4 linked regions of the Struthio camelus genome follow. The protein of the gene in region 3 binds, or shares a complex with, the protein of the main gene of each other region. Links are inferred from orthologs where the notes say so. Each region holds a gene or a part of one and is shown on either strand. Other genes may lie near its edges.

Region 1 (7,881 bases), on a different chromosome or scaffold from region 3:
AACGCCTTCCCCTCAAATAAAACAGTTTAAGCTAAAGAACCACCATACATTCTTGACCTCACTGATAGAGGAGATTAGTTACTAGAAAGCTATGTATTTTTAGAAAATATTTCACACAAGAAGATGCAGAAGAAACAGTGGTGTCTAGCTATCATCTCTCTACAGACCGTCTACAACTGATGGAATAAATAAGCTGAAATCATCAATTTATGATGTGCTAAACAAACTCAAATCCCCTACAGCAACCAATCACAGACACCACAACAGAGCTCTGGATTCTCTGCGCTTTGAGGATACTGCTCCTTCTTAAACAAGCCGAATGTTTGTGGGGAAAAAACATTATTTAAAAATAGACAAGGAGAGTCACAGCAGATTATAACTGTTTCAGAAGCATAATTCTGCAGTCAAGAACATTACTTTTTGACTCAAACCCAAAACAACGCCTGAGATAAAAATTTAACATTCAATTCTAATAGCAGAATCAGTTTAAATACAGCTTTGCAATCCACCTCGTTCCTAAAGAACGGACGATTCCCCGTTAACAGTTGATTAGTTTGTGCATGTTTTTGTTCTGTTGCATTGAAAAAGTAAGTAATCAGCAAGAGCGTCTTTAATTAGTAATCCAGACTACCGTAGCTTTAACACATGGTAAGTTTTGAGACAAGTATGACAATTTGAGGTTAAAGGGTCAATGCTTCTGACCAGATATTTCCAATCAGTATTTCCTTTCTCAATACGGTGAGACTTTCATTGATAAATATGGCCTAATGAATACTAATGCTATTGGAAATAAATCACCCTAATAATTACTGTGTTTGTATATACGTGCTTATATAAAAATATTATTTCATCAGTTATTTTTTGCAAGTAGAGCCAGAAAAGAATAAAACTATTATAGTTTCGTACATAGCACCACTTCACAGGTATGGTTAGTTCCCACAAAATTACATGGGAGATTTAGGGTTGCAGATTAGACCTATTACTAAAACACTTTCAAAAGAACTCTGCAAAATTTATTTCACCAATATTACAGGTGCATTTAAAAATTTTCAATGTTTCCTCAGCCTAGTACGGTGAAATAAAACAGAATAGATAGATGCAACCACAATAACCATGAAATAACTTAATGTTATAATTTATGCTAATTGAGCACCAACATTATTTCACCAGTGACAGATTTGTGGATTGCAACTACATGAAAAGTTATGCTTCTCGAAAACATGCTAATCAATTTTCCATGAATTAATAGGGATTGCACAATTTGATTTTTTTTGTGAAAGAGTAACTATCCATTATCTTGCTCTTGCAATCAGATACAACCATCTCCCTCATGCTTATCATTTTATTTTTCTTAGTGTGTAAGACCAGTGTATTCAAAAAAAATCACCATTACAATTCCTGCAGCATTCTTATATACTTCTAAATATCAGAAAACACTATCACAAACAGAAACGTAAATATGAGCCTAAATAATGTCTAACTGTTCAATAAAAAGCCAAAATAAGAATTTTATTTATTCTCACAGAAGAATCTCCAGGCCAGCTTCCTAGCAGAACACACAGGCATAGACTACGGCCCTTGTCCCAGATACTTAACAGATACAAGCCACATAAAAAACACACACATACAAATTAAAGAAAACAGAGGCAGAAGAATGATAGGCCATCACACAGCAAAAAGACTGATCATCTGCATTTTCAATTCACTTTCTTTTTTCCTTAATTCTTATAAATGCAATAACAGTCATTTCCTTTCTTTTGAAAAAAAAAATCAAATATATGTATCTACCTTCAATTCTTACAGAGCACTGGGGAGGGCAAAGGGTTTTATCCACCACAAATCTTTCATACATTTATCCCCAAACTTACACTGCAAGTTTTTGTTTTAACTATACTATAACACGCATTAAAAAAATCCCTCCTTCCCCTAGACATTGGCCCTAGCAGCACTAGAAGACTGTTGGTGATCTAACAGTCTTGTCACTCGCTGATCTGTTGTCCGCTCTGAAGGGATAAGGTTGCTGCAGGTGGCCGGTAAAATAAAGCAAGACATTTCCAAGTGACATTGCCTTTATACAAAAACTAATGGTTTTCTTGTTTTAAATTCATACAGACCCTGTAGCTAGTCACAACTGATACCACGATTTTTGTAAAATTATACCATGCAATGCAAGTACAAGTTGTCAGTTACCAACCAGAGGGGATGACAGCACCTAGATCATCAAGCTATCCAGCATACTACATTTTCAGCTACCGTTTTTCTTCTGAAAACAAAAAATTAAAAGCTTCTTTTTTTTTTTTTTAAATCTCTTGTCCCCAACCACAACCTGTTCAAAGAAGGGTCAAAACAGCTGGCATCTAGTCAGGAGAGCCCAGAGGTAAGTCCGAGAGGCAGTCACGCTACGCAAACTGTTCGCTGCTGCTGAAATGGCGTTTGCCATTATGAAAGAAGAAGAGGGGAGGAAAAAAAAAAAACCCACAGTTTGGTAGGCACAAAGCACCAGGGCACGGAGTGCCAAGGGAGGCGGGGAGAAAAGACTGTTTACCAGAGAAGATGGTCGCACATGCCGGGCACACACGCAGACACGCAGGCACTCCCGCAGCCCGGCGAACGCAGCTGTGCGAGGAACACACGCACACTCGCGGCAAGCCACGTTAAAGAGCAAAATAAACACGGGGCGCCGAGCCGGGGGAGGGGCCAGCGCAGGAGCAGCCCCACGGGCCCCGACTATAAAGCCCCCGGCAGCTGCACCCAGCCGGCAAACTTGCCGCGCCGCCCACCCCTGCGGGGGCTCACGCAGGCACTCACCAGCGAGAAGAGGTTGGAGTGACAGTCCTCCAGGCTGGCCCCGTTCGCCACCCAGTTCGCCGCTGCAGTCATGATCCTCGGCGAGCCCGGCCGCCAGAGCGGGGCATGTCTGAGGAGACGGGCCCGGCAGGCAGGGAGAAGCACCGGCCACTCCGCGACGCAGCCCGCTCCTGCGGTCGCCGGGCCGGCAGCCGCTGTCCTGCCCCCGGCCGCGGCCGGCAGGGGGCGCCGGGCGGGCGGGGGGGGGGGGGGGGGCGGACGGCGCCCCGGCGGCGGGCGGGCGGGCGCCGAGGCGGCGGCGGCCGCGCTCCTCCTCAGCCGGCCCCCGCCAAACGGTGCTCGGGGCGGGCGGCGCGGCCCGGCAGGGGCCCCCGCGGGCCGGCTACGCGGCCGCTCCGCTCCCGGCCGCTCGGCGCCGCGCGGGGCGACGCCTCCTGCGCTGCTCCAGGCCGCCGCGGCACCGCCGGGCGGAGGAGGAGGAGGAGAAGGGGGGGGGCGCCCGGGGCCCCGCTTCCGTGTCCAGGTCGGGCCCCCCCCCGCTCAGGGCGCACGTTGCGGTGAAGGGGGGGCGAGGGCGGCGGCCCCCCCGCGGCGGCGGCCCCTACCGCGCACGGGCCGGGCGGGCGGGCGGGCGGCGGGGGAGGGTCGCGGGCCCCGGGCGGCGGCGGCGGCCGCGGGGGGGGCGCTGTCTCGCGGGCCGGCGGAGGCCGTGTCCCCTCCCTCCCTCCCCGCCCGGCCGCCCCTCGCTGCTGCCGCCGCTGGCTGCGGGTGGATGGTGTTTTCCTCCTCCTCCTCCTCCTCCTCCTGCTGCTGCTGTTGCCGCCGCCGCCGCCTTGTTTACGCTCCGTGCGGGGCCCCCGGCGCTGCGGGCGGCGGGCGGCAGCCGCGGCCCGGAGAGGGAGCACTGTCCCTGCCCGTCTTCGCCACCCTCCGCCTGGCGCTGCCCGCCCAGCGGCCCCGCTCACCAGCTCCTCCTCACACACTCGCCTCTGCCTCTCGCCACTCTGACAGCAATGGCGGCCGCCAGGCGCAGCGCGCCTCGCCATTGGCCGCCGCCGCCCCACGTGACGCGCGCCGGAGGGCGGGGGCCCGGCGCTGGGGCTCCCTCCCGCGGCCCCTCCCTCACCCCGCCGCGGCGCCCGCCGGGCCGCTGGGGGCGCGCGGGAGCGCGAGCGCGAGCGGGAGCGGGAGCGCGAGCGCGGCGCCGCCGCCGGTGCGGGGGGAGGGGGGAGGGGGCGGGCGCCGCCGCCGCCGCCGCCCTCGACGCCTCGCGACCCCGCGAACCTCGCGGCGTCCCCGCGCGGCGCCTGCCCTGAGCGGCCGTGGGGGGGGGCGGGGGGGGGTCCGGGCCGCGCCCCCCCCCAACCCCGCGGTGCCTCGGCCGTGCGGCTCCCGCCGGGTCCTTGCGCCGCAGGGGGCCGGGGAATGCTCAGAGGAGTTTTAAGACAGGAGCTGGAGGGCTGGCAGGTGGCCGGGGCGGCCCCCGGGCAGGTCCCCTCCTAAAAGCCCGGCCCGACCCTCCAAGCCGAACCGCGGCGCGCGAGTCCCCCAAGAAAGCGGAGCAGCTCCGCGCCCTTGTTCAGCCCGAATACAGGCATCGTGTGCGGTTCATTCTGCAAGGGTGGCAGAAACAAATGAAATAATTAACTGAAATAACGCCTTCTGGGGAAGAAGAAAGGTTAGGCACGACACAACTAGCAAATCACAAATAACTGAAAGTTTCGTTTAACACACAATTCGTAACAACTGATTTTTTTAATTAACGTCCATAACGACCCTTTGATGCTCACCAGCAGGAGCCCGGTTTGCTCACGCAGATCACAGCTCGCGTGTCTCGACTTCTCACCCGCAACCGGACCGCGTCACGGGCCATGCAGTGCAAATAGCACCGTTGGAAAGATGGTTTGTTTAGCAATTCACTTTAATACAGATTCGTAACACGTTTTCAGTCACTTGATTCAGTGGAAAAATTTTTCTCGCCATGCTTAGAGAGCAGCTTTCCTTGCGATATTTTATCTTATTTAGGCATCTTTTTGGCAACTTACTTTTCTTTGCAATAAATTAAAAAGATTAGCATCTGTTGTAATGACGGGATGGAGTTTGTCCGGACTTACCTCACAGCGACAGACCTCTAACACAAACAGGCGTCACAGCCGCTTAGCTGCGTTACGTGCGCGGAGCGACAGGCTTTGGGCCGGCGGAAGGTTCCCGCCGCGACCGGGGCTCTGCGGGCGCGTGCTCCTCCTCGGGCGAGGCCGGCCGACTTCGTCGCCTTCACTTCGTTGCTGCACCCCGCAGAAATTCTGCCTTGCAAACACTGGGCCTATATTAGTGGGAGGAAAAGTGTTTTCCAACAAATTATTTGAATACCACATTTTGTCACAATTGCTTTTTTCAGAAAGAAAAAAACACTAATTAGGTGGCCAAACAAACCCTGGAGTCACCCGAGGGGGGGACTTTTATCCTCCTTCAGTCACCTAGGAACATCAGGTGGCACAGAAACGTTGTGAAAGCCCCAAACTGGTAAGGGGCAAAGCTAAGGAGACAAACTGCCATAACCTGGAAATTGCTCGCTGTAGTTTGGCCCGGCCATCACGGTTCTCTACACGAACGCACGTTTCCTTCGGGATCGTTAAGCAATCCAGAATCAGGAGAACTCAGGACCATCTTACTCCACTTTCTCTTGGCTCCAGGTCTCATAAACACAGGACACAGTCTGGCACTTGTAAACGCGTCAAGTAACACACAGTAACCAACAAAGTCTAAAAACGACAGCTTTTCATATTAAAACAATATAGTTCTTTGTAAATACACCGCAGCATCAGTTATCCGTCCTGTCACCAAATAATACCTAGGGTGCAACAAACGCCTTATAAAAAGTATCCTATTTCTGGAGTAAAAGGACATCCCTCATCATGAAATAAGTAGCATTTTCTTATTTGAGAAATACTTTTAAACTGAGTATCACATGATTACTTGCCCCAGAGAAAGCTAATAATACCGCTTAGAATGGGACACGGCAGAGGAGGGGGTTCATGTTTCTGCCATGTGCTGCTCTCTCTCTCTCCAAACGGTATATGCAGGTGTCAGAATTCCTCTTCCGGATCTTCCGGGTAGAGATTATTAATTACACCTGATTTTCTCATGATCTTAAGACAACCACACGCTGGGGCCTAACATATGATTCAGATCCGTCTTCACAGGGAGAAACGTTAATATACTCACGTTATTGCTGCCTTGGCCGTTTTTCAGGATTCTTAACAAAACTTACCAACTCTTACACTAAAAATATTTCCGTGTGATAAAGCTACCTTTATTGGGTGAATATTTTGAAGTTACAGAGTTGCTGCTAGCATTTCTGAATGGCTATTGGTTAGAAGATTGTGACCAGGTCTTTGCATTGCAAAGCTCAATTTGGTTTTAAACTGAAAAAAAAAAAAAAAAAAAGCTAGCAGCTCTTCAGATGGTTTGCCAGTTACTTGATTTTATACTATGTTTTAGTTATAGGTGCAGGAAATCATTACAGTCTGATCATTCACTTCACCGTACCAATCTAGGAAAGTTCCCTCGCTGTATTCTGACAATAGCGTTACTTAAAACAGAAATCGTTCCACTTAACAGATATCGTATTCAAGTACAAGTGACACTTGCTCATGCATAATTGTCCTACATGGTATGTGGTGGAACGTGTTTCCCAACTCAGGCTATTCGAGTTTTATTCCCTGTTTTCTTTTGCTGCTCTTTAAAAATTGATCAATGAACATGAACAATAACATTGGATTTTTTGCTTTAACCAAACACCCATTTTTCTAAAATAGCAAGATATACAAACTTTTGCAAGTAGCTCTGCCAACATATTAACCTGCTAGCTGCAAGACCAAAACTCAGAAGTGGCAAGGAGTTTCCAGGCTCCTGGAAACCAGCTGTATCACACTTGGTCTTCGCCATAGAGACGTGATGAGCACCCTGGGAAGAAGCCAGTTACTCGCCCTTAGAGACCCCTTCCAACATTAGAGTCCCAACACTGATACACAAGATTATTTTGTCCAGAGCTTACAGTAATGATCCAACCTGTTCTCCCAGGAGGATGGCTCAGCAGTTTCATAGACGTTGTTTGTACCAGCAGGTGTTGCTTATGCTTCAAACTAAACATGGAGGAAGAAATAAAGTTGTCAGGAGGCTAAAGCAAAGCTAAAATGACAAGTAATTGCATGGTTTTATTTTGCCTTAAAGCACGTCAACTTTGCAGTATTTTCACAAACTTGCAACAGGAATATTTACTTGAGGAATACAACTGGCCTGAGCACTACATCCAGGCAGGGCTCTCCCACCTCCGGTCGCGCAGTTTGGTCCTTCCAACACCAGCAGTCGAACTGCAGTCCAGCCAACTTTGGTAAGCGTCAAAAGCAGCAGCGTTTGACTTTTCGGGTCAGGGATAGCTCATTTCCAGCTAAAAGAAAGGCTTAGAAGCCTGAGTTATAAGAATGTCCCCCGCCTACAATTGTTATTTCCAAAAAAAATTATTGTCGGCAAGGGCAATGCCCACGCTTTTTTATGAAAATATGTTCAAGAGCTAGGTGAAATACAACAGTGGTGGCTGTACTGCTGCTTCTGTCTAATTCTACATCTCAATTTATTTCTTCATATCCTTTTCCAAGTTTCAGAGAACTTTGACTCATTTTTAACATCCAGGTTTTACAAAGGTAAAATGACTACAAATTACTTCAAAGAGTAGGGCAATTAAATTTATAGGAGAAAAATGATCTTGTATTTCCCTAATCAAATTTTGTTTTTTAAATTTATCTTTATTAATGTATAAAACTAAGGAGTCTGCTAACCTAAGTCACACTTAAAAAAAAAAAAGATTTGTGAACTTTTCGGTATTAAAAGGTTTATTTTCATTTTATTTATATTTGTGTTTATTTTTTCAACCTCCAGGAGCATGAAAGTCTGAGCTTGCTCAGTATGACTGAAGGACTTGTGAAAAGTTTCAGGTAAATTGTGATCATTTTTAGTCTATAGCTGAATGAGCTGCCTTTAAGAAAAAAAAAATCCCAATTTTTCTAGCATTTG
Region 2 (6,428 bases), on a different chromosome or scaffold from region 3:
CATATACAAAAAAGAGCAGAGCTCTTCTAAGACAGGGCATGAAGGTGCGGTATGTATTATGTATTATGCATTTTCTGTTCTTGTACAATACTTGGCTTCAGAATTCTGGTAAGATAACTTAACACACTCTGATGGCACGTACTGTACACATAGTTGCTGAATTAACAAAGAGCAGAAATGCCTGCTAATGAAACACACCAATGTGCCTAAAATTAGTTATGAAGAATAACTGAATCAATTTAACTAATGCAAAAAAAAAAAAGATCTTAGGTCTTTGAGGCAGCTAGTGTCACTGTACTGATTCCGTACCTGCTGGAGGGGTTTCCAGGTTCATTCCTACAGTTTGGAGATGCTACAGCAATTCTGTATTCTGGAGATAGTTGCAGTATCAGTTGTGAGCTTGTACTGGACACCGTAGAGCATGCACATTTCAGAAAAGAGCTGAAACATGGCAGAAAGCATATTGTAGAATGCTATGCATGACAGCACCCACCATCCTTCTTCATTTTTCATTTGGAATCATTGTAGAAAGAAATGTTAGCAGTTCCCCATATGTTGGAAAGGGTCGTCCATGTGCCTTCTGCGAATCAGCCATCTTGCTACTAAGAATGAGACTGAAACCCTTTTTTCTTCCTTCATTAGTTGACATTTTATCTGCTATGTTTTGGCCACTACATACAGACTGGGAAAATGACTCAAGAAGATCACAGACATCGTGTGAAAAACAAGTGCTTGCTTGCCCACTGTCTCCTACTTTTTGAACTACTTTACAGCTTTGCTGCACAGTTCACAATACCAGGCAGTAGAGCATCAAGCTCAGCTTTTATTACAAGAATGTGAAATCAGTCTGGAAAGTCCAATAAAACCAAAGGTGCGTTAGTACCTCCTGATGGGTTTTCTCATGTACCACTGGAGGCGGTGCATTTTATCCCTTTTCTGTCTTTCACGGTATGATGTCACAAGGTGGTTTGAGACAAACTAACAGCTTGCTGCCACAGAAAGGAGAGCCATTCCTGTCATCATCTCCCCTACCTCTGCCGTTTCTGCTTCTACCCTTGTGGTCTCATCACTTACTTAAAAGCCAACACTGATGTTCACTGGATCGCACAGTGAATTGACTCTGCACTAGAAGAGTGGAAAACCTAATCCAGAAAAATGATAGTCATGTTTTCTATAGAGTTTGAATAAATGCCAGGACTGGCACAAAGTGGTGAGAAGAAAGAATTGCATCGCCAGAAGTGGGGGGGCTGAAGGAGCAGTGAGAGAGGAAAGGAGAGTCAGGGCAGGAAGAAAGAGTAGGGGAGGAAGGTGAGGGAATGAGACCTCCCCTTTCAAAAGCAGCAAACTGTTTATTAGCTCAGTTGTAGCTAATACGCAAGGGTCCCACACAAGGGTGTGAGGAACCACACCCTTGCTCTGTGTCTGAAAGCCATATTCTCAGTTCCATATTTATGTGCATTTGTAAGATCTGCATCTCCACCCTGGAGTACTTTCCCTTCTTGAAAATGATTATTTGTATGTATTGAAGTAGTGTTTAGAAACCTCTACCATGTAGAAAAAATTATAAGCCATCTAGGATCCCCCTGGCTGATAGTACAGGATTTTCTACTCCAAACTGTTTAGATTCTAAACTGACAGTATCTCTAGCTAGTGAAAGAAGTGAATTAGCACTAGTATTCTGACTGAATATAAATGAAGACTAAAGGTCTCTTAAATCTTCCTGCCGACCCCTAAGACCTTGTGGTTTAATCTGGAGAGTGTGAATGACTGGTCCGTGTCATACAACAAATCTGTGGCAGGGCAGACTACCAGAGTCCCAGTTCCATGCCTAAGATGAAGCACTCCTTCAACCTGTGGAGACCCTGGGTTCCGTAACTGTGGCAGGAGAATGGGAACTGGTGGCAGCTTTTTAATCCTCTTTATTAATTTGTTTATTTTTAAAATCTTGATTGTCGAAAAAATTTAAGTATACAATATTTATCTTGAACTCTCCTACATGTCAGAGGGATGGCTACCCTAGATAGCGTGGTGGTGAGGAAATGCTGAAAATAAAAAACAGGACAGCCAAACCACCTTATCCTGTCCTGTTTCTTCTGCGTTGTTGCCTACATGGCTTCCCATTAAGATATTTATTTGCAAAGAATAAAAGCTTTCTGTACGCAATCTCCTGAGACTGAACAATCCATTCAGCACTTACACTATTCAGTGCTTGTGACATTTCAGACTCATTATGGATGTGTTTCTGAAAAGAACACTAGATTAATTCACATCTTCAGGCACCACACAATCCTCAATGTAAGGACCTTTGTCTCACTTTTTAAGTAGAACTATTAGTATCAAGGCAGAGAATGTGAAAATATCACTTATGTTGGCATCATCTAGCAGTCTAAAGACTCTAAGAATAGAGATTGTGCCCAAATCAATTTACCACCAGTTTTCCCTAAATCAAAGTTGTAAGTCATTGCCAAATGGCAAGGATAACCTCCTTTGGACAACATGCATAAATTGTGGTCTAGCTATGCAACGAAAATAAATCCTTGAGCCTATTCTTTAAAACATGATATAGGATATATATATATATATACAAGAATGTGAAATCAGTCTGGAAAGTCCAATAAAACCAAAGGTGCGTTAGTACCTCCTGATGGGTTTTCTCACGTACCGCTGGAGGCGGTGCATTTTATCCCTTTTCTGTCTTTCAGGGCATGATGTCACAAGGTGGTTTGAGACAAACTAACAGCTTGCTGCCACAAGCTGTTAGTGGATATGTATATATGGATAAATACGAAGCTATAATTACATTGATGACACCAATCTGTGAATAAAGAGAAAAGAGTTAGCAGGACAAACCTTTAACTAAGTAATGATCAGATAAGAACCTAAGCAACATAACATAACATTACCATGGTAAGTACAGCACCACCAAAGAATAAGGCCATCAAACTTCACAACGGCAGACATCTTCAGCAAGTTCACTGAATGCCATCCTCCTTTGCTGTGTGACCAAATATGTTGTTTTATTGTGCTTGTCACTCAGTCACCTGAGAACAAATGTCAGCTTACTTTCCTCCCCAAAATATACCCTGCTTACAAACGAAAATAGGTCAGTTTATTTTGCAGTTGGGGTTGCATTCATTGTCAGTCCTGCCTCAAATATAAAGGGTTGTGTCATCTGGAATATTTAGCGAGCAAAATGTGAGCTGTAAATATTTGTCAGGTTTTCTAGTCAAACAAACTCAATTATTGTGGAGTTTTACGCATTAGTTTACAAATAATTAACAGGATCCACGGTAATTACCTTTCAATCAAAAGAATTTCTTTGCAAAATGATGGTTTCACAAAGTCAATCTGTAAACGGTACTGCACAGGTACACCACGGGTCCCTGCCAGACAAAGCTTATTGCTGCCCTCTGCTGAGGAAGAGACAACATAGGACCTAAACGGCTTAAGTGTCAAAAATCCTCCCGTGTGGCCATTTCGGGCAGGGATGCCCGCCGAAGCGATGCCAGCAAACCCAGCCACCCACGCTCCGCAACGTGGAACGCTTAAACCCACACCGCTATCTTCAGCTCGGCCTAAAACAAAAACGAAGCTACAGGACAACGACAGAGCCCCGGCGTTCATTAGAGTCTGTATGCGCTGAGGTTTAGCGTATCCAGCTACAGGAGCGACGCAGATAAAAGCATTTTGCAAGGTGCCCCCTGGATTTCACGACCAACGCCCACGGTCCCAATGCGCGGCAGCATTAAACAGTACACGAGCGCTGCCCAACTCCGTGGGTAATCATATTTGCGGATCCCTACGCCAGGATGTTTCTCAGCCGCAGGGGAATGAGGATCACCACCAAACGCCTGTCCCCGAACGCTACCCTCGGCCACGGCGACGCCTCCAGAGGGGGCTCGGGGGCCCGAGGAGGCCAGGCCGCCGCCCGCCTCGGGGCAGGCCTCACCGCCTCGGCCCCACAGCGCCCCAGGGGCGGCGTCTGCTGCGGGACCGTTGGGGACGTGCGCTCCGCGTGGGCCCGCGCACGGCGCTGCCCCGGGCACGGCAGCGGCTACACAGGGCCTGAGCGGGCGGCGACCGCAGAGCCCCGCCACGACACACCCCCTCCCCCTCAGCCACCGGCCGCCCCGCCTCCGCCGCGTAGCCGCTGGCCCCGCCTCCCGAAGGAGCCAGCGCGCTGAGTGGGGCAAGCTCCTGACAGGCGTGTGGGAAGACCAATCAGAGCGCGGCGCAGCGAGCGGGACGAGCCTAACGAGGGAAGGGGAGGGGGCAGCGCGCCGGAAGCGGGTGCCGGAGGCGGTGGCGGCGGCGTTGAGGGGAGCGACGGCGGCGACGGCGGTTAGGTGAGCGCGGATGTCTCCTGCGGGCGCTGCCCGCCCCCGGCAGCCGTGGGCCGGGCCCGGCCCTGCCGTAGCGCGCCAGGCCGCTCGCCGCTCCCCTGGCCTCAGCGGCGGCCTGTCGGCCCTCCTCGGATATCCCTGCCCCGCGCGGCCGGCCCCGGGCAGGCGCTCGGCTCCGCCGGGGGCTCGTTGGCGCGGCCCCCCGAGGGTCTCCGGCCTGGGAGCGTGTCGTGGGGGCGAGCTAACGGGTGGTGTCCGGGAGCTGCCGGGCCTTCCGCCTCCGAGGGGCCTCTTCCTCCGGTGCTTTTCTCACAGCCGTCTCTTTTACAGCGTTTCTGGTGTCCGTCTGCCGTGCAGGTCGTTAAGCGTGTGTTTCTTGGGGCGTTCCCGAGGTGTTTTCGTCTAGCAAAATGGGCGAACCTCAGCAAGTGAGTGCTCTTCCTCCGCCACCAATGCAATATATAAAAGAATATACAGATGAAAACATCCGTAAAGGTCTGGCCCCAAAGCCACCTCCACCTGTGAAAGACAGTTACATGATGTTTGGTAATCAGTTTCAGTGTGACGATCTAATTATTCGACCCTTGGAAAGCCAAGGTATTGAGCGATTGCATCCTGTGCAGTTTGATCACAAGAAGGAGTTAAGGAAGCTTAATATGTCTATCCTGGTCAACTTCTTGGACCTGCTGGATATCTTGATAAGGAGTCCAGGAAGCATAAAGCGAGAAGAGAAACTGGAAGACTTAAAACTGCTTTTTGTTCACGTCCATCATCTTATAAACGAGTATCGTCCTCACCAAGCTAGGGAGACACTGAGGGTCATGATGGAGGTGCAGAAACGTCAGCGTTTGGAAACAGCAGAGCGATTTCAGAAGCATTTAGAGCGAGTTGTAGAGATGATTCAGAACTGCCTGGCCTCCCTGCCTGATGATCTGCCTCACTCGGAGGGAGGATTGAGAGTGAAAGCAGAACCCATGGATACTGATGATGGCAACAACTGTGTTGGACAGAGTGAAAAACAGAGGGAACGTTCAGGTTGCAAGAGAGATCAGGTTTTAGACAAAGATGCAGCGATGTGTAGCATTATTGATGAAATGACATGAAGAAAACACTGTTTATTAGCTCATCATAGCAAGGGGCAGAATGGATTCTAAGGCTATATGTTACACTTTAATTTACTGTTGTACAAGCAAACAAAGCATTGATTTTATGCGTGATGGGAAGGATTATGAAAGACTAAGCAGATGGAAATGTTCAATATGTTATGTAATCTGTGTGTTTATTCATAAGAACCAAAATGTATAGTTGTTAAAAGCATCATGTGAAGTGGAAGCAACAGATTAAAAGCCTTTTTTTGGTGTACTTTGATGTAATTTGTCACTTGCTGCTTTTTTGGGTATATTCTGTTTGTTACTTGCCGTGAAGTGTGGAAGCAAGTAAGGGATCAGACAGAGGAATTGCAGTTGATGGTTTTTCCATTTCAAAGAGGCTTTAGTTGCTTACACTTTCAGTGGATCTTTTCTAAAATACATATTTCAATATTAAAAGTAAAGTCAGTGTCAAGTCTGCCAAATCCCTTCATCTAACTTTATGCAAATGTAATTGTACAAAAGGACCTAAAATTACTTCACTAGGGATGTAGCGTGTCACAATCTCCTATGGAAAGAGGGAGTGAGAGAGGCTTACGCTGTCAGGAATTTTGGGAATGAAATGGGTTAAAAATAATTAGATTTTAATTTTCTTAGATGTAAGTTATAACCAAGCGTGAGATTACAAAAATGCCCACATATACGTCCTCTTTTGTAGTTTGAAATGAGGAAGTGGTCTCCTTAACCTGCCCATCCTGTCAGGGAAATCTTAAATCTTTCTTTTTGGTGTGCAATATTGTAGTATATATGTTTTCCAAACTCTGTGTACAGCAGCTAAAAAACTGCAGTAAACTTCAGGGGTGAGGGAACTTGCACGAACTCTGCTTTTTCACCATGGTTTTGTAAGCCGTGCCTCTATCTTATCTGATAAATCGGGTATATTTATCTAAATAGACAGGCAAAAGCAGTTAGCTATCGGGTGGTGGAGACTGAGTTC
Region 3 (8,360 bases):
CAGAAACGCTCAAGGGACTGAGACAGCAATTTCTCACTGCAGCAGAGGGAGTGAGGAGCTTACAAATAAAGGACAAGTCTAGTGCCTGTACATTTAACTCCATGCAAACAGCACTACCCATGCAATGCTGATATAAGCAAATGCAGGTAGGCCTCTCCTGTGCCTTCTATGAAAAACGTCCCCCAGGCAAAGCATGACATTTGTATAATTACACATGTGAGGAACCTACAGAGATCACAGGCCCCTCGTGTCCAGAAGGCTCTGGCAGTTTCACCCTGTAATAAGCTATCAATCCATTTTTACTTCTAATTCAGAGAACGGGTAAGAAACCGTCCCCTGCAAAGCTCGATGATCTGAGCTGGGGAAAAAAAAAAGATTAGAACAAACTACATTTTTGTTCTGCACAAATGGGAAGAGCCGATGGCTGTGAGCAAAAACCTGACCGTGATCATTGTAATTTGCTGGATGCCTTAAATTCAGGCACCTGTTGACAACGATACAGCCGAGGCAACTTCAAAAGTAAAAAAAGTTTCAGTCTCTGCCCTTCCCGTAGGGCCTCCCACCTCCACCCTATCCTATGGCAGGATTTGCCAGTCCCTCTGGCCTGGTAGTGCGTCCCTTTCCTCCATTTGCATAGAAGAAGTTGCAGGGTAGCTGAATATGAGAGAACTAACTGCAGCAAGCAGGAATGCATACAAAGCACTGCAAAAACACCAGCTGGGCACACTGGAAAAGATATTTCCTTCCTGCAAGTCGCTTGCTCTTCCGGGACTGATGGATAGACTTAATATTCAGAGGTATAAATATTTTTCAGCTAGAAGATGAGATTTACACCACTCTGGATATGCAAGTGCCAGAGGTCATCGCTAGTCTCTTGTCCACGTGATTTTGAGACTTTTTTTTTTCCTGCCTTGAGCCCAAATTCTACAAGCTAATACTAAAGGACTAAATAACCTCAACCAGGCCAGCAATGTCTTGACTACAAGAAGAGTGGCCATAGATATTGTTCATTTACGTGAGCAGTGCAGTATCACAATCCAATTTTTTCATTCCTTGTTTCCAAGATCGGGGGATGATCTTGATGAGACATCTACAGACAGCCTGAATCCCTATGAAGTCTTGCTTTACTTTTCACCTCAAGCTGTATTTTATACTGCTATTAATAACTTACTGATACCTATATCCTTGACTAATAAAAACATCTACCACAGATTTTAAGGAGTATTTGAAACTCTACAGGCTGTTTATTCAGCTTCATGGTCAGTTTTTATGGTAACAAGGAAGTATTTTCATTCAAGATTGTAACAAGGGCCAACAGAATATTCACAGCTATTTATAGATTAATGATACAATTCTAATCACCTTTCCCACCATCTTCTTCAGATAGAAAGCAGTCCTAGAAAGAAATCATAGAGTCTGTCCCATGACATCAAAGGAGTCAGGTTGCTTTACTATATAATAATCTCGGACAAGGGAAATGTTCATGTCAGTCCTTCTCCTAAACGCTTACTGCTTCTGCTTTCCTCAGAGTTCATTTTTCATGACTAGATCCCACAAAGTTCTCTTACAAACTCCTTAGTCGTTCCTTCTCCAGACCTGCACTACTGTTCCTCTCGTTGTCAGCCCACCACAGAGGGGCCTCAGAGCGCAGATCTCCAGTGAGCCAAAAAATCCCCAATGACCTCTGCCCTCCTCACCTGTGGTTTAGGTTCATACTGCTGCTGGAGCATCTTGGCCACTTTGTTCTCAAAAGCGCATAGCTGCGCGTACACTTGGTGCAGAAAGGCCTCTTGCTTCGTCTCATCCAGCTGACAGCCCTGGAATAGTACCTGGCCCAGGGATACACAAGGCAACCATTAAGTTAGGGGGTCAGAGTACCGGCCCCCTTAACAGCACACGGGAACGCAGTTCTCACCGGGGCTGTCGGGCATCTCCCTGACAAAGTACAGGTAACGCACAGGCCTCTTCCTGCGTGAGGCCAAATGCATGCATGCAGGGACGTTTCGTGGCATCTGCAGCACACTCTGCAGCAGATGCCTACAGCATTCTCTTGGAATCTCGTTCATAAGCAAGAGCTTTCTACTTCTTTTGCCTTCTTCTTGCAGTGGTCAGGAGAAAGCAGTGTGGAATCCTTGTTAAAAGCCTTTAACTCTGATGTGACATTTCCAAAGAAGGCCTGTTTTTTTTTAATCTAACTCACCTATAGACTGATCCAATTATCTTCCAGTAAGTGGATGGAAAAAGGAACAGTTCGTTGAAATAAAGACAATAAAAAATTTAATCGGATGTTACAGAAGAGGCTAAGTGATGTGACAGAGGGACACTGTCAACACAGAAACTCCCCAAGCTGATAGGCAGGACGCTCGGGCATCGTGCAGACTATCTCTGCCCAGACCCAGGTATCACAGAACACGGAGGCAAACGGGATGCAATGTGCAGACAAAGCGTTCAACAGAAGGCAAGGACGCTCCTTGTTATCATGCCATCCCCTCACCCTAAGGTGAGCACATAGTGACATGGGAAAAATAAACAATTACAACAGATATAGGCTTTCTTGGATGAGTTACACACATATGTGCCTTTTCCTCCACAAAAGGAACACACAGCTTTTTCAGTTATGTCCAGAGATGACAGTTACTGGCCTCACACAAGAAATAAGATTTTAGAACAGATCCAAAGAATAAGAAATTACCAACTTTGCAGTACTCAATTCAGTGTAAGTAGGGGAAATACTGAGGCAAAGCATGGTGATGTCTGAAGGACACCTGGACAAGATTACACACAAAATATCATGGCAAATAGGGAAATTCCTGCTAAGCATACTTTCATAGCACCTAAAAACTGACCAAGGTGAGGGCCACGCTCTTCAAGCACTGTACAGACCATTAAAGCTTGCAGCCTGCACAGAAGGCTTGGGAAGAGGTGGACCAAGGAAGGGAGAGGGAGGGAACAGGTCTATGTTGAACAGCATCATCTGGTTACCACACAATTTCTGTGGTATGACCAATGGCATGAAACACACCATCAGAAACGGGAAAATGATGTGAAACTACTGCGAGGTTGAGGGGACCGATACAAGAAGAATAAACTTCAAAAACCCCTACTGGCACTATAAACCAGAACCTGCTCTGTCTCAAGTAACTGTGAGGTTACTGGGGCTAGGCTGCTCTCTCCAGCAAGGAGAAACATACTCACACTGGTACAAAAAGAGAGCAAGGTTTGTAGGAAGAGGTAATCATCTTTGAATAAATCACTGCTACACAGTTGGAGCAGGCAGACAAGCTTTTGGGCATACCACCTCCTCTTGCATGTTTCAAGTTAATTACAACAGGCCAAAGAAATTAGTCAGCAAAACAATTTAAACAGGGGAAAAAAAAGCATTAGACATAACATGAGGGAAATATTAATTACAATCTATCTCTGAGAACATGCCTACAGGCAGCGTTCTCTGCTAGGCCCTGCTCCCCCATGAGAAACCTCTGCTTCCAGCCCAGAAAAGCTGCTCATGTGCATTCCCCCCATTGCACCAGGCTGCACGTTTGAATGAAACAAGTCTACAACAATATCTTTAACAAAGCCCAGCTAACACATGTCCCACTTCCCTTTGTGTTCACGGGCAACCAATAAAGCAAGCTGCTCACGTGCTGAGATGCGCCAAGGGAGAGACTGAATTTTACCTGATGGGACTGCAGGCCAATGATGGAGGAATATGCCTGGATGGTCACAAAGATCTCTGGCTGGTAAATAATGTCCGAACCAGGGATACGAAAGGGTCTTAACAACCCCACTAAGCATCGGGAAAGAGCGTGAAACACTTCGTCAAAAATTATCTCCCCTGTTGAGTCATCCTACAGAAACAGAGAAAAGAAACTTAGCTTCTTCATCTGCCAGGACTTTCAATCTCATTGACAGCCGCCGCACCACACAAAGCTAACAAAAAACATCCTTCTGTAACAGCAGCTGGTAAGCAAAGGCCACACATGGAGCATCCAGCAGAGACACAGGATCTGCCAGTAAGCTGACCAGCTAGGAGCATTTCATGCCTCACTCCTGGGAAAACAAGTGCTCTGCAAAAGCTAAGACTGACATAGAAAGGAACGAGCCTTCTCAGCAGAGAGAAACGAGTCCAACCTTTCAACAAAGGGCACCCCAAGAAGATAGTTTCTGCACTTACCACAATCCCCGTGGAAGGGCTCAGGTCAAGTTCAATCACAAAGCGGTACTGGCGGGCCAGGAAGGTGACCCGTGTTGAGGGCACTAGGAGATAGGGCCTAGGCTGGACAGGCTCGTCTGGCTGCCATCCATTAGGCAAGATGCTGAGAACATCCAGTTCGTTTTCCGACTTCACCTACATGAAAAGGTGAATGGTAAGTGAGAGAACATTAAGACAAGCCACATGTATCAAAGCAAGAATCAGAATAAAGAATAGGGTTAAAACCTTCTGCAGGGCCTGGCTGCTCATGAGTAGCGCAGAGCCCAGAGCCAGCTGGCCACGTCAGGATGTGGCAAGACCAACCAGCCCAGGGCACCAACTCACCAGCTCCGGCTCAGGCACAGCCCAGATGACCTGATGGAGTCGGCTGAGGACCCAAGCAAGGCGCACGTTGCGGGAGATGCGATAGTCTTTCTTCATCAGGAGGAAGACATGCCCTGCTTCCTCCACCTGCAGCGTGTGGGAGCATGGCAAGCCCCCTGGTCACCCCAGGAGTCAGCCAGCCCCCCAGAAGAGGGAAGAGGCTGGCACTGGCTGGGGCTGGCCACCACAGACCTCACCAGCACCTCCTTAGTTGGCCTTTGCCAGCATCGCTCATCTGCCCCCACATCCACCCCAAGACGTGCCTCAGCCCCTCGCCTTTCCCCCACCTGCACCAGCCCCCACGTTCCCTCACAGACCCAGCCAGCCCCATCGCTCCTAACCACGGCCCTGCCCCCCCCATATCCCCTGTTACCCCCCACCTCAGCCCTGCCCCCCAAAACCCGTTACCCCCCACCTCGGCTCTTCCCCCCCATATCCCAGTTACCCTCCCACCTTGGCCCTGCCCCCCCCAACACCCCTGTTACCCCCCACCTCGGCCCTGCCCCCCCAACACCCCTGTTGCCCCCCCACCTCGGCGATACCCCCCACACCCCAATTACCCCCCCCTTCAGGCCTGACCCCCCTCCGTCCCGGCCCGCCCCCACCTCCGCGTCGGCCCGCTCGGAGGCCGCCATGTCCGGCCGCAGGCCCCGCCCCGCCCCGCGCCCTCTGACCCCGCCCTCCGCCCGCCCCGCCCTTCCCGCGCTGCGCGCCCTGACCCGGAAGCGAAGCTCTCCCGTGGCAACGGCCGCGGTGCCGCCATGCAGGTGAGGGGCGTCGGGCTCGGCCCGGCTGCCGCCGCCGGCAGCGGGGGGGCTCTGAGGGCGCCGCAGGCCCGAGGCGAGGGCGAAGGCGAAGGGGCGCGGGGCTGCGGCTGCTCGGGCCCGGCCGGCCGGCGGCCGCCCGCGGCTCCCGGGCCTCGGCTCTGCGCAGGCCCGAGCGCAGCGTGTGTAGGCCGCGCTGGGCCTCGGCTCCCCTGCGCCCCGGAGAGGTGCAAGCAGCCAGGCAGAGTCGGCAACGCTGGCCCCGACCTCTGTCAAAGGCGCCTGCCCGGCGGCACCTGCCGGGCCGCGTCGCTGCTCGGCTGCTTGCAGGGATGGGGTCGCGCCGAGCGGCCCGGCGGGCGGGCAGCAGCTCTTCGCCGCAGGCCAGCCGTGATGCGCCTCTTTGGGAGCTTGGCCTTGCCCTCGAGCTGTTGTCCAGTGCTTTCCTGTGCAGCAACCTCCTTTTGCTGCACACGCGTAGACTGAGTATGTGTATAGATAACTGAGTCTCTTGTTCCCTCTCAGCAGCCGGTGCAGCCTTTGGTGAGAGTGGCTGCACCGGATCAGGCCAAAGGTCTGTGTCCCCCCCCCCCCCCCATCGTGTTTTTGACACTAGCCAAGAAGTAGGTGCCCGGGAAAAATGGTGAGAGCAGAGTATGCTTGAGGGCTGTTCTGTGCAGACTATTGCTAAAGGGTCCCATGTATTTAATAGCTTTTGATAAACTTTCGTCCATGGAAGAAGGATCCAGTTACTTACTGAACCTTGGGGAATTGTTAGCGTCCATAATGTCCGATGGAAAGGAGTTGCACAGGTTAATGGCAGGTTAACAGGCTGTGAAGAATTGCCTCCTTTGGTTTGTTTGAGCCTGCTACCTCCTGCTTTAATTCAAGTTTCCTAATTGTCATGCCAGAAAAGAAGGTGAAAATGGATTGTCATGCAATTCCTCGTGTACTGATGTTTGTTATATTGTCTCTCCTTCTCTTTTCTGCCGCTCACACAAACTGGTCTCTTTTCTATGTTCGACTGCTATGCCTGTAGAAGCTGACGTATGTCTTCGATCATCCTTGTTGCCTTTCTTTGTACGTACTCCTACTATATCCTTTCTGAGATAGAGGGACAACAGTTACAAACAACAGTCACGATGAAAACGAGGCATATGTTTATACAGTGATATAATGATGCTTAGTTTTATGTTCCTTTTCTAATAAATCCTATTATTGTTTTTGTTTCCTTGACTGATTCTTGAGCCTTGGGCTGATTGTTTTTGGAGGATACTCCAAAGATCTTGGTTTTTGAGTGACAATGTTATCAGTTCAGAGAATGTCATTGTTTATGAGGAGCTAGATTCCTTTTTTGTTTGTTCTGCCACGTGCATTGCTTTATGTTTACCTACACTGAATTTAACCTTTACCTCCCAGTCACTCAGTATCAGGAGGTCCTTCAGCAATCTCTCCTATAAGCCCTCTCTTTGCTACCTTGGGATAATCTAGTATTGTATAACAAACTCCTTAAAGCACTGCTTGAATATATTGTGTGCCTGCAATAGGTACAGAACTTCTTGGAAGTACTGATCTTAAGCACTGGTGAAGCCTGTACACATTACATCTGCTTCCTGCTCTTAACGGCTTTGGAGGAGGCGCTGCTGTGAGAACAATGTGTGGGCAATATGGTTGCATTCGTCTTCTTGAGGGCCTCTTGGATAAGCACAGGCCATAGGCTGCATGAATTGCCTTAGATGCATATGCCTGGCACCTCTGCAATAAACACTGGCTACCTGCCCAACTTGTAATACAGTCATTGATTAATTCTCTTGCACAAGCATAGTGCACACAACGAGTTGTAGACTCATTTCTTAATTGCACAGAAACTGCCCATCTCCATCACAAGATGGAGGAGAGCTATAGTGCTTTAATCTTCAGATGCAACACCCAGCAATCTGCTTCGAGGACTAGGGATCAGATTCTACCAAAGTTGACTCAGCCTTTTTTTTGAAGGTGGTTAAGTGAAGTGAAGTCTGGTCAGTGTTTTCTAAAGATACCTTTTATTTTCTTACCAGTTTATAAATTAAATAGAAAAATCTCATGTTCTCATGGATATAGAAGATACCTGATAATCTCTTCAATGAAGCTCATGCTAGTCCAGTTCATTTAAACAGAACAACATAAACAAACAAACCCCATAGCAAGCATGCAAACAGAATGATTCACCCTCTGTGCTTTCCCAATTGGCATTCCCTTTCTATTATTTGATTGTAATGTCCCACCCTCCAGGTGGATTATTACTGTACAGCGCTTGACTTATATTAGCAGTTTATTAGGGCTGGAACTTCAATTGTATTTTGTGCAACTCTTCTGTTGTATGAATATATAAGAACAGAAAAGATTCTAGAGAGTTTTTGCAAGAGGGTTTTTGTCTCGGTATCTTTGGCAACAGATTCCTTATCCTCTGATTTTTTGCTTGTGGCCATCCTACTTCACCCAGGGATGTTGGTGGAAAAGGAATTTAATCAGTGCAGTTCAGGCAAAAGGCAGGAGGTGACCTGCATGTGTGTCCAGGTTCTGTATGATCCCTATTACAGCAGTGCCTCCCACAACTGGTAAGGCACAAGTAAAATGGGAACTCCTAATTTCTCTAGCAGCTAGAAATGGCACTTGGGCAGGAAGAAGGTAAAGAATGAGATGAAGGGTAGAAACTGGAGTCTTTAGGCCACGGACCCGATGCTTATTTTGCACACGGCTGCTTTGGATGAAGACATTACTGTATCCACATTTGCTAGCAGAAGGAGTTGAGTGAATGCTAATTACCTTGAGCTGGGCTAGCTTAAACAGCTCACAGAAGTGGCATGAGCTAACTCTGATGACACTGTCTGAGGTGGTAAAAAGAAAATGCAAGTGATAATGTCTTCATTGTGCTCATCTGGATCTTAATGAGGGCAGGCAGCTGAGGCTTTGTCTCATGCACAAGTCTCTTGCCTGAGTGCTCTTACTCAAGAAGAGGTCAGTGTGACGATACAGGATTT
Region 4 (8,155 bases), on a different chromosome or scaffold from region 3:
ATATTAAAATATTTCTCAGTGCATCTTGGGAGGTTTGAAAGGATTTTTCCCTTTGATATCACCATGGGACAACAAAGCTGTCTTACTGCTAAGGCATCAGAAAAATCCAAGTATTAAGCCAAACAGAATTCTCCAAATAGGCTTCTCACTCCCATGGGATTTTCAGGAACGATAAGGCCATCTGCTGTCAGAAAGAAATCAAGTGAGTTTATGGAAAAAAATTGACAAGGGGCCTAGAGAGACTTAATGAAATGGAAGCTTGTACATGCTGAGCAAAAATTCCAATACTTGTAATTAATTTTTGAAGTATTTTAAAAGAAACTGTTGTATTATTTATGCCCTTATATTTACAAAATAAAGGGTTTCAGATTTTTTTTTAAAAAACGTTGCTTTAAATTCAAATGTTTTTTGAGTAGCCTGTAACACAAACATTACGACTCCTGCACTCAGTCAAAAAGGGAAATCAATTAATTGGCTTTTCAGCCAAAACCTCTATTAAAAACTCTGTGATCCAAACAGAAAAGTCAGCATGAATTTCCTCCTTTGAACTATTTCAGAAGATGACAATTTTCCTTCTCTACAGTTTTAACAGTTCAAGTAGTCGTATATAGTCATACAACCAGTCGGTGACCTACAGCAACCATTTTCAAATGCGGACAAAGCAGGAAGCTGCTTTTCTCCAGGTAATTTCCTGGTTGCTTTGGGGAGAGACTGTCTCCTGGAGGCAGACGCAGGTTGAACGTGGCAAGCCACGGTCATAGCTAATGCAGGGGTGGGAGAAAAGAGGGAAAAAAGCTCTTTACGTTCAAAGCCGAGTGCTGAATTTGGGGGCAGGTGGCGAGATATAACACATATTGAGGGCTCGAGCAAAGCAAGCACTGCATGAGCTCCCACTGCTACACAGGAGCTCCAGGCTGTCCCCTCCGTGAAGGTGCCTCTCTCTGCCACAGAAGGGTTGACAGCCCAGTGCCACTCTCTCCTCCAGGGTATGCTGTGTTGGTCCACGCACAAGGGAGATGCTCGCAGAGCTATGCTCCAGCTGCCACGGGCCATGCAATGTACCCTCAGGAGAGGCAAGGAGTGCCAGAGGAAAAGGAGCTTGTCAACCACAAAGTGAAACCGACTCGTCTACTTTCTAAACCTTTGTTTACTCAATAAAAATACTGAAATGAAACATGAAAAATGGCAAAAGGTATTTTATGTTTCATAATTCAAATTAATACTAGTGAAAATTAACATAGAAATATCATTTAAGAACTGTCACTATCCCATTTATTCTTTTGGCATTATGAAGCTAAGATACCTTGTTTTATCCTCAATAAACTTCAGAAATCAATCAAATAGATAAATCATTGGTTGCTTGATTTTCTGGTGCTGTACAAGTGAACACAGACCTAAAAACAGTGATCAGATTTGCATCATACTTGATCATTACAAAAAAAGCTAAGCTAAGAGAGAGGCTGGGATAAGTATTTTTCAGTTATAATCCATCACCAACATAAGATCTTTCAATAGCCTTGGGAAAGCCACTTAACTTTTCTGCCTCAAGTATGTTTGACCAATCTGATTTCCGCCAATAAAGCTATTCATATGGTCAAATGGTTTCTAGGACCTAGTCTCAGATAACTGCGCAGAGACAAGCCCGAAACTCTCTAGGAGAACAGGCTGCTGACAGCTCTCAGTCTTGTAGAAAGTATCCAGCCACTTGAGAGCCACTGAGTGCTGGGGAACCAGTCATGAGGCCACAGGCTGTGGAGCGGGTTTCAAAGAGCGTAACTGAACACAACTGACAAGTTTGCAAGCTATTTAGCAAGACTCCATGGACCAGCTAAAACACTATGACTTAAGAGCTCATCAAAAAAGCTCAAGGCCCACAGTTTGAGTACTACTGCTTAACACAGTGTCTCCAATTTGCTACTTCAGTAGTTTCTGTTGGCTTCCTCTCCTTTTATTTTTTTCATAAGAGCCTCTTGGAAATAAAAAAATCTACTATTTGTCCTCTCATAAATTAGAAAAAAAAGACATACGCAGCTAATTCATCTATAAATTATCCTAAAGATGCATTAATACAACTAATCTGAATGACAACGCTATTGATATTCCAGCCCTTCATTAAAATATGTTAGGAAAACATATGTAATACAACAATGAAAACATTGCATTCTCTAAGCAGTTAAAACTTGCACGAAGACACGGCAAATACTATATAGATTACATGGCTGAACTAAAAATAAAACAGTTTTACCATTAGTAAAAAATATCTGTAGTTTCCAATATTCTTCTTCAGTAAGAAATTTCAAGTCTTTTTGGCGTTCCTTCAATAGATCTTGTTTATCCAAAATCCATTGTAAACTAAAGAGAGAGAAAATAATTTTAGCAACTCTTTATGAACATCATATTAAGCATCGCCTGTACAAACGACAACAGACTACAGCTTAGGCCTAAAGGGCACGCGGCCTTTAAACAAACCGTGTACGTTCTTCCCAAGCAAATACTCACTAGCTTTTCCCAAGGTAGATATCCAAAAAAAAAAAAAAAAAAACACTAGCAGGGACCAAGAAGATCACTCCTTACCCGCAGCAAACTAAACCGCAACACAGTGAACGGCATTAAGACGTGCGCTACCAATCACTTGTGAATTTTAAGCTATATTTAGTGCACCTCGGGCATCCATTCAAAACTCAACCTACCCAGCACAAGGCACCTTGCCACAGCGCAACCCTGGCCGCCCTAGCGCTGCAGACAGACACCGGCCCGCAAGACCTCGGCGCTCCTCGCTCGCAGCAGCGGGGGCCGCGCACTGGGCACCAGGCCCACGCGGACACAAACGCTGCTTCTGCGGGGCACGGGTGGCCTCCTCCGCGCCCCGAAGAGGCCCCAGATACGGCAAAAGGCCCTCCCGAGCCATTTAAACGGCCCTATTTCTACTGATTGCTATGGCCATTACCCTCCTTAAATTATTCACCGCTATTATACTAGCCCTCTCGGCAGCGATACACCCCGGTTTGCGTGGGCGCTCAGCACCGCCCGGCCCCGCACTCCCCTACGCCCCGGCCCCGGCCCCGGCCGCGGCGAACAAAGCCGGCCCGGCGCAGCCGCCCGCCCGGCCCGCAGCCCCCCAGCGGCCCGGTTACCCACTAGTGCGAGCTCTGCCAGAAGTTCCCGGCCATGAGGAGGAGGAGGAGAGCGGAGGCGCCCCGGGCCCGCGATCCCGCCGGCCCCGCCGCGCCGCGCCGCCTCCCCCGCGCCGGCAGCAGGAAGGAGGCGGCCGCCGCCGCCGCCGCCGCCGCCGCCGACCGGCAACACGCGGCGCAGGGAAGCCGTTCCCCTGCACGCAGGTTCCGCCCGGCCGCGGCAGGGCCCCGGGCGCCAGCGGCGTTGGCCTTGGCGGCGGCCCGGCGCCCTGCCTGCCCCCCGGCCCGCCTCGGGGGAGGGGGCCGCCGCCGCCCGCCCTGCCCCGCCGCTGCCCCTCGCCCGCGCCGCCTCCTCCCGGCGGCGCCGAGCCCTGGTTGCTGACGGGCGGCGGCGGGATTTGGGGCCTGTGAGGAGCCACCGTCGTGACCTTCATTGCCAAAATGCACTTATTCACCGTTTGGTTGCATGTGTCATCTTCTGCGCTGTCACGAAACTACCAAGCCGGGGGTGGGGGGAGGAGGGGAGAGTCTTCACCAGATGGCAAGGCCCAAACGTTCGTCCTCGCCATCACCCCTAAGGACCCTTCCCAGCCAAGCAAAGCCCCGACCAAGGTGCTCTTTCCTCAGGTTTTCCCCCTTCTTCCTCCCCACATGGAGAGGCTGCAGACAGCGGGAAGGCGCCCCGCGCCCCGCGCGCGTTGCTGGAAGGCGACCCCAAGGCGAGGAGGCGCCCCGCGCCACCGGGGCTCGGCCCGGCCGGCGGCCCCTGGCCCAGGCTTCGTCTCCGCCGACCGGCCCAAGTCGCCGAGGCTCTTGGCCCCGCCGATTCCCCCAAGAATGAAGAAAACCTACCGAGGCAAAAAGCGTCCGTTGTAAAGAAACTCCCGGTTTCATTCTCTGGTGTTTTAGAACTTGATTATTCGTCTTTTAACGGCAGGACTTCTATTACAAGGGAGCCTGCTCCCCAACCAATCCTTGATGCAAATCACCGCTTATGGCACTCTGAAGACTTGCAGTGTGGGGAGCAATTCTCCAGAGACAATACGTCCATTATAATTGATTTTACAGTTACACGTAGTTGCATTCTGGTGGCTTAGCCTTGAAAAGTGAGCCTCTGAAATAGCATTGCGCTAGCCTGTATTTATTGTTTCTTAATAACTTACCTCTCCTGTGCCAGATTCACAGTTGCACAAAAGTTTCTGTTGCTGCTCTAGCAATAAAAAATACCATACAGTTTGCCTAAATGGGGAGGGAATAATAGTCAGGTAAGGTTTGAATCTACAGCGCGCTGGCTAATTCCATGCTAACTCGCTCTGCGGAGACTCTTAAAAGGCTGTTGGTCAATGGCCAGTTTATACAGAATACATTCCAGATTCAGTATTGCAAACACTTACATCTTCAGGATGGCACAAGCAACGACGTTGTTAGTAAAATTCAGAGGTACCGTTTATACAAAGAAAGAATGCTATTTCTGTGGAAAGCAGAGGAGCACAGCCATTATGTAACACTGGAGAGCGCCAAAATGGATACTCAGAGGTACCTATTTACGTGATGTGTGAAACAGAACAATGCGAGTTTCTTTGCGTTTCCTACACCATCCTTGACAAAATTCTCCATCTTTATTTTGACATATAGTTCAACGCTGCTAATGACTAGATATGGAGTCTCTGTTTTGAAATTCAGTAGAATCACCGCACCTTGCTTTCAAAAACGGCTTAGTGGAACCAAAATGCATTCTGTCACAATTAAATACTTAGCAAGCATCCCTTGATATGGCGTGGTTGCCTCACGGCACATTCTGGACGCGAAAGATTTACTTTGCCTAAAAAGGGTTTACCCTGCATACCTTAGTTTGTGATGCTCTAACTTCCCCAGATAGACAAGTCACTGAAAGGGTGGCAGTAGCTCTTTGAAATTCTTCCTTTTAAAAAAAACGCTTTCCTGCATGGTGTTCTTGTGGTGTCTGGATTCTGTACTAGTCTGCTCCCAATTTCTCGTGTGTCTAGAGATGGACATTATAAAGGTTGGTCCAGACAGTGCCGGCAGTGCATTACTGGCCCTTGTTTCTGTTCGCACAAGCTCAGAGGGTATGCTGAAAAGGACAGCACGTGCTGGAATAACCCTGAACCTTCTTTAATTTATTTTAAAGGCTAAGCAAACTCTTGTGTGACAGCAGGGTATGATCATAAAAGACAGCTTGTTACCATTTGACTGCTTCTGTCCTAAAAATGGGAAAACTGAAAGAACAGAACCCTCACCTACTCAGTTTAAGCATGGTGGGTTTTCCAGTTTTAGAAACTAGCTAGTTTTGCACATAAGCTTCTTTCTGTGCATAACTACAGTCCGTGGTCAGGCACTTGAAAGAAGTCCTGTGCTTTAGAGGACTGAGCCCTCTCTCATAAGACAGTGTTTCTTGAATTGGCTTGGTGCTACAGATCCTATTTGACAGTAACTGATAAGTAATAGCTGCACTTTGAAATAGCAGGTTAAATAAAACTGCTTTATGGATGATAAGTAAATAACTAAAGCCACTTATTTCTCTTGTGTTGTCCCCACTGCACTTAAATTTCCCTTTATCTTACCCATTCCCAGAGTTGCAGGACTCTGCTTGCTCTGTGCTGGGGAGCAGCTATGCAGGCAAACGTCTGAAGTCGTTTAGGGAGAATCTGGGCCTAAATCCTTTGCTTCCTTTTCATGTTCTTTATTGTGATGATACATGAAACAGGGCTCCCCACTTTTAAATGGGATCTGAGATGTCCTCTGCTGTATACAGTTGGGAAGACAGCATCAAACCAGGAGTTGTAGATCCCTGTACCTACATAACAGCACAAAGAGGGTGGAGGATAAGGTCCGAGAGAGAGGGAGGGCGGATGCCTCTCCGTTTCTTCAAGCAGTACTACCACTAGGGGAAGTATACCTGATTTTTGCAGTGAGACCAGTGAAAAAACTGCCTATTTATAACGGCTGAAGGGAACGTAGCTGAATACCAGTAGAATCAGCAGAAGCACACAGCCACCTAGGGACCCAGAATAAGGTTGCTGTGACTCATGCTGTTACAGTCCAAGTATCTATATTTCTATCACACTTTTCCTAAAAGCTAGCTCAAAATTTCTGTGTGTGTTTGGGGGCGGGGAGGCGGGAAGAACATAAGGAAAGAGGTCATTAACACTTGGGTTGTGACAAGTTTCAGACATTTTTAGAGTAGTGACATAGCACAAGGCAAGGTGGTAGGACGCTGTGAATACAGGAGTGCTATACGTTGACTCACAGACTGAGGCATGTGAAAAGGAGAGCTTGAAACTTGGTCAGCGACAGCAGTCGAGGGTCTATAGGTAAACAAAAGGGTTAGCCAATGCTGGCATGCTGTGTGGAAAAGCTGCTGGAGGACTACCAAGATATTTTATAGTTTACTGGTAGCTTTGATGTTAAATTGCTGTTAGTTTATAATGAATTTATAAATCAAGTCCGAGGAATTAAATCTCTCGGACACCTCACCATCTGCACAGATCAATGAGGTTGTACAGCAGTTAACCAGTCCTGTACACAAATTCAAGATTACCTGGCAATAACGGTCGCAGGGTTGATTTTCATACTGCTTATGCCAATTCAGTACAGGGGCAATTCCATTAACTTCAGTGACTGTGTGGTCCCGGTGTAAACTGGGGCAACGTGAGCTCCCTCTTCCTCTGTGTGTCAGCCGTGCCAAGGTCCGAAGCACGCAGGAGGGTCGACAGCCATGGGCCGGACCCCATAGCGCTCGCCGCCTGGGACTATGCCCCGGCCCCGGAAGGGTTAAGTAAGTCACTCCTGAATGCCTTGCCCACTTCCATACCCTCCACTGCAAAATCAACATCTAACTTAGTTATCCCTGATGGAGACTCTTACAAGGCAGAATCTAGATCCAGCATTTTGGAGGTTATTTCCTTTCCCTCCTAATATAGAGGCATATATGTATGCATACACTCTTATACATAGATGAGCAAGCATATGTATTTATTCATCCTGCAAGCCTAATTGTCAGGGCTGAATGTGGGTCGGAAAAAGGCTGCCGAGCCACTAGACAGAAAGACAGCTGGCAGCTGGCAACCCTCCCGGGAGAGCTGCTGCCTCATGGCCTTCCCATTCCCCCGGGAGCCGCAGCCGGTGGCTCAGGCCAATTCCTGCACCCACAAAAGTTAGCAGAGTTTCTGTCGCTGGTCACAGTGGGAGCAAGAAGCGCTCCTACAGGGCACTGCCTTGGCAAGGTGAAGTAACTCCTGGCTTATCCTGTGAGGAAGACTGTGCTCGGTGCTCATGGTTGTCAAGACCTGCGAGCACATGCAGACTATTTTTGCTTGGTCTGACAAAACCAATTTGTTCTAAGATGTAAGCATGCCTTGGCTGTCTGCAAGCAGTGTACTGTGTGAAGAGCAGGCCACTTGCTCCCTAGGGGTCCTCCTCAGAGTGGGCAAACTCTCTCCGGCTCCGTCCACCACTTCAGACATCTCCCTCAGCTGCATCTGTCTGAACTGAGAGGCTGTTTTCAGAGCCACAAGTAAAGATCTCTGCAAGGCAGCCAACAAAGCCATCACCAATAATGAAGGAAAAGGCTCCATTCAGCAGAATTTAGCGTAGGAATTGTGAACGTATTCAATGAGCAAATCATTGAAAGTATAACAACTGTAGTTCCTTTCTAGGCATCTCTTGGTATATGTGCATATATATGTGCATATATATGTGTGTGTGTATGTGTGTGTGTCTCTCTCTTTCTCTCTCTATATATGGCATTGTGCTAGGCAAAGGTGTGCCTAGAGGGATGTAAGTATATAAGTGTGTATATCCGTATGTACACACATATATAGGCATACATACATGTGTAGGGGGACCTGAATGCTATCTTGATGCTGTCATGAAAGAGATGCTCTGTGAATCTCTCTCTCTCTCTGTCCCTGCAGCATACAGGAAATCATTTGTCTGGGCAATGCCAAGGGACTGGCAGCAGCTGGGGACTGGCAGCAGTAAAGCAGGAATTTCCGAGTAGC

Evidence for each region.
Region 1: MED8 (region 3) and MED13L share a complex: the UniProt entries of both Homo sapiens proteins name them as parts of the mediator complex. The link is inferred for Struthio camelus from reciprocal best matches to the Homo sapiens genes MED8 and MED13L.
Region 2: MED8 (region 3) and MED7 share a complex: the UniProt entries of both Homo sapiens proteins name them as parts of the mediator complex. The link is inferred for Struthio camelus from reciprocal best matches to the Homo sapiens genes MED8 and MED7.
Region 4: MED8 (region 3) and CCNC share a complex: the UniProt entries of both Homo sapiens proteins name them as parts of the mediator complex. The link is inferred for Struthio camelus from reciprocal best matches to the Homo sapiens genes MED8 and CCNC.

Annotation. Positions count from the first base shown.
Region 1 is NC_090958.1:5,771,448-5,779,328, reverse strand, and holds the start of MED13L (mediator of RNA polymerase II transcription subunit 13-like), read right to left. Parts: upstream 3,017-7,881; 5' UTR 2,881-3,016; coding exon 2,809-2,880; intron 2,564-2,808; exon of another isoform or gene 2,546-2,563; intron 1-2,545. UniProt on the Homo sapiens protein: Component of the Mediator complex, a coactivator involved in the regulated transcription of nearly all RNA polymerase II-dependent genes.
Region 2 is NC_090954.1:11,290,004-11,296,431, forward strand, and holds MED7 (mediator of RNA polymerase II transcription subunit 7), read left to right. Parts: upstream 1-4,233; 5' UTR 4,234-4,346; intron 4,347-4,673; 5' UTR 4,674-4,753; coding exon 4,754-5,446; 3' UTR 5,447-5,711; downstream 5,712-6,428. UniProt on the Homo sapiens protein: Component of the Mediator complex, a coactivator involved in the regulated transcription of nearly all RNA polymerase II-dependent genes.
Region 3 is NC_090949.1:25,439,411-25,447,770, reverse strand, and holds the start of MED8 (mediator of RNA polymerase II transcription subunit 8), read left to right. Parts: upstream 1-5,244; 5' UTR 5,245-5,337; coding exon 5,338-5,343; intron 5,344-8,360. Other genes in the region: KICSTOR complex protein SZT2, read right to left, coding at 1,698-1,829, 3,678-3,848, 4,175-4,348, 4,538-4,663, 5,182-5,211. UniProt on the Homo sapiens protein: Component of the Mediator complex, a coactivator involved in the regulated transcription of nearly all RNA polymerase II-dependent genes.
Region 4 is NC_090944.1:54,823,037-54,831,191, forward strand, and holds the start of CCNC (cyclin-C), read right to left. Parts: upstream 3,353-8,155; 5' UTR 3,171-3,352; coding exon 3,139-3,170; exon of another isoform or gene 3,135-3,138; intron 2,353-3,134; coding exon 2,246-2,352; intron 1-2,245. UniProt on the Homo sapiens protein: Component of the Mediator complex, a coactivator involved in regulated gene transcription of nearly all RNA polymerase II-dependent genes.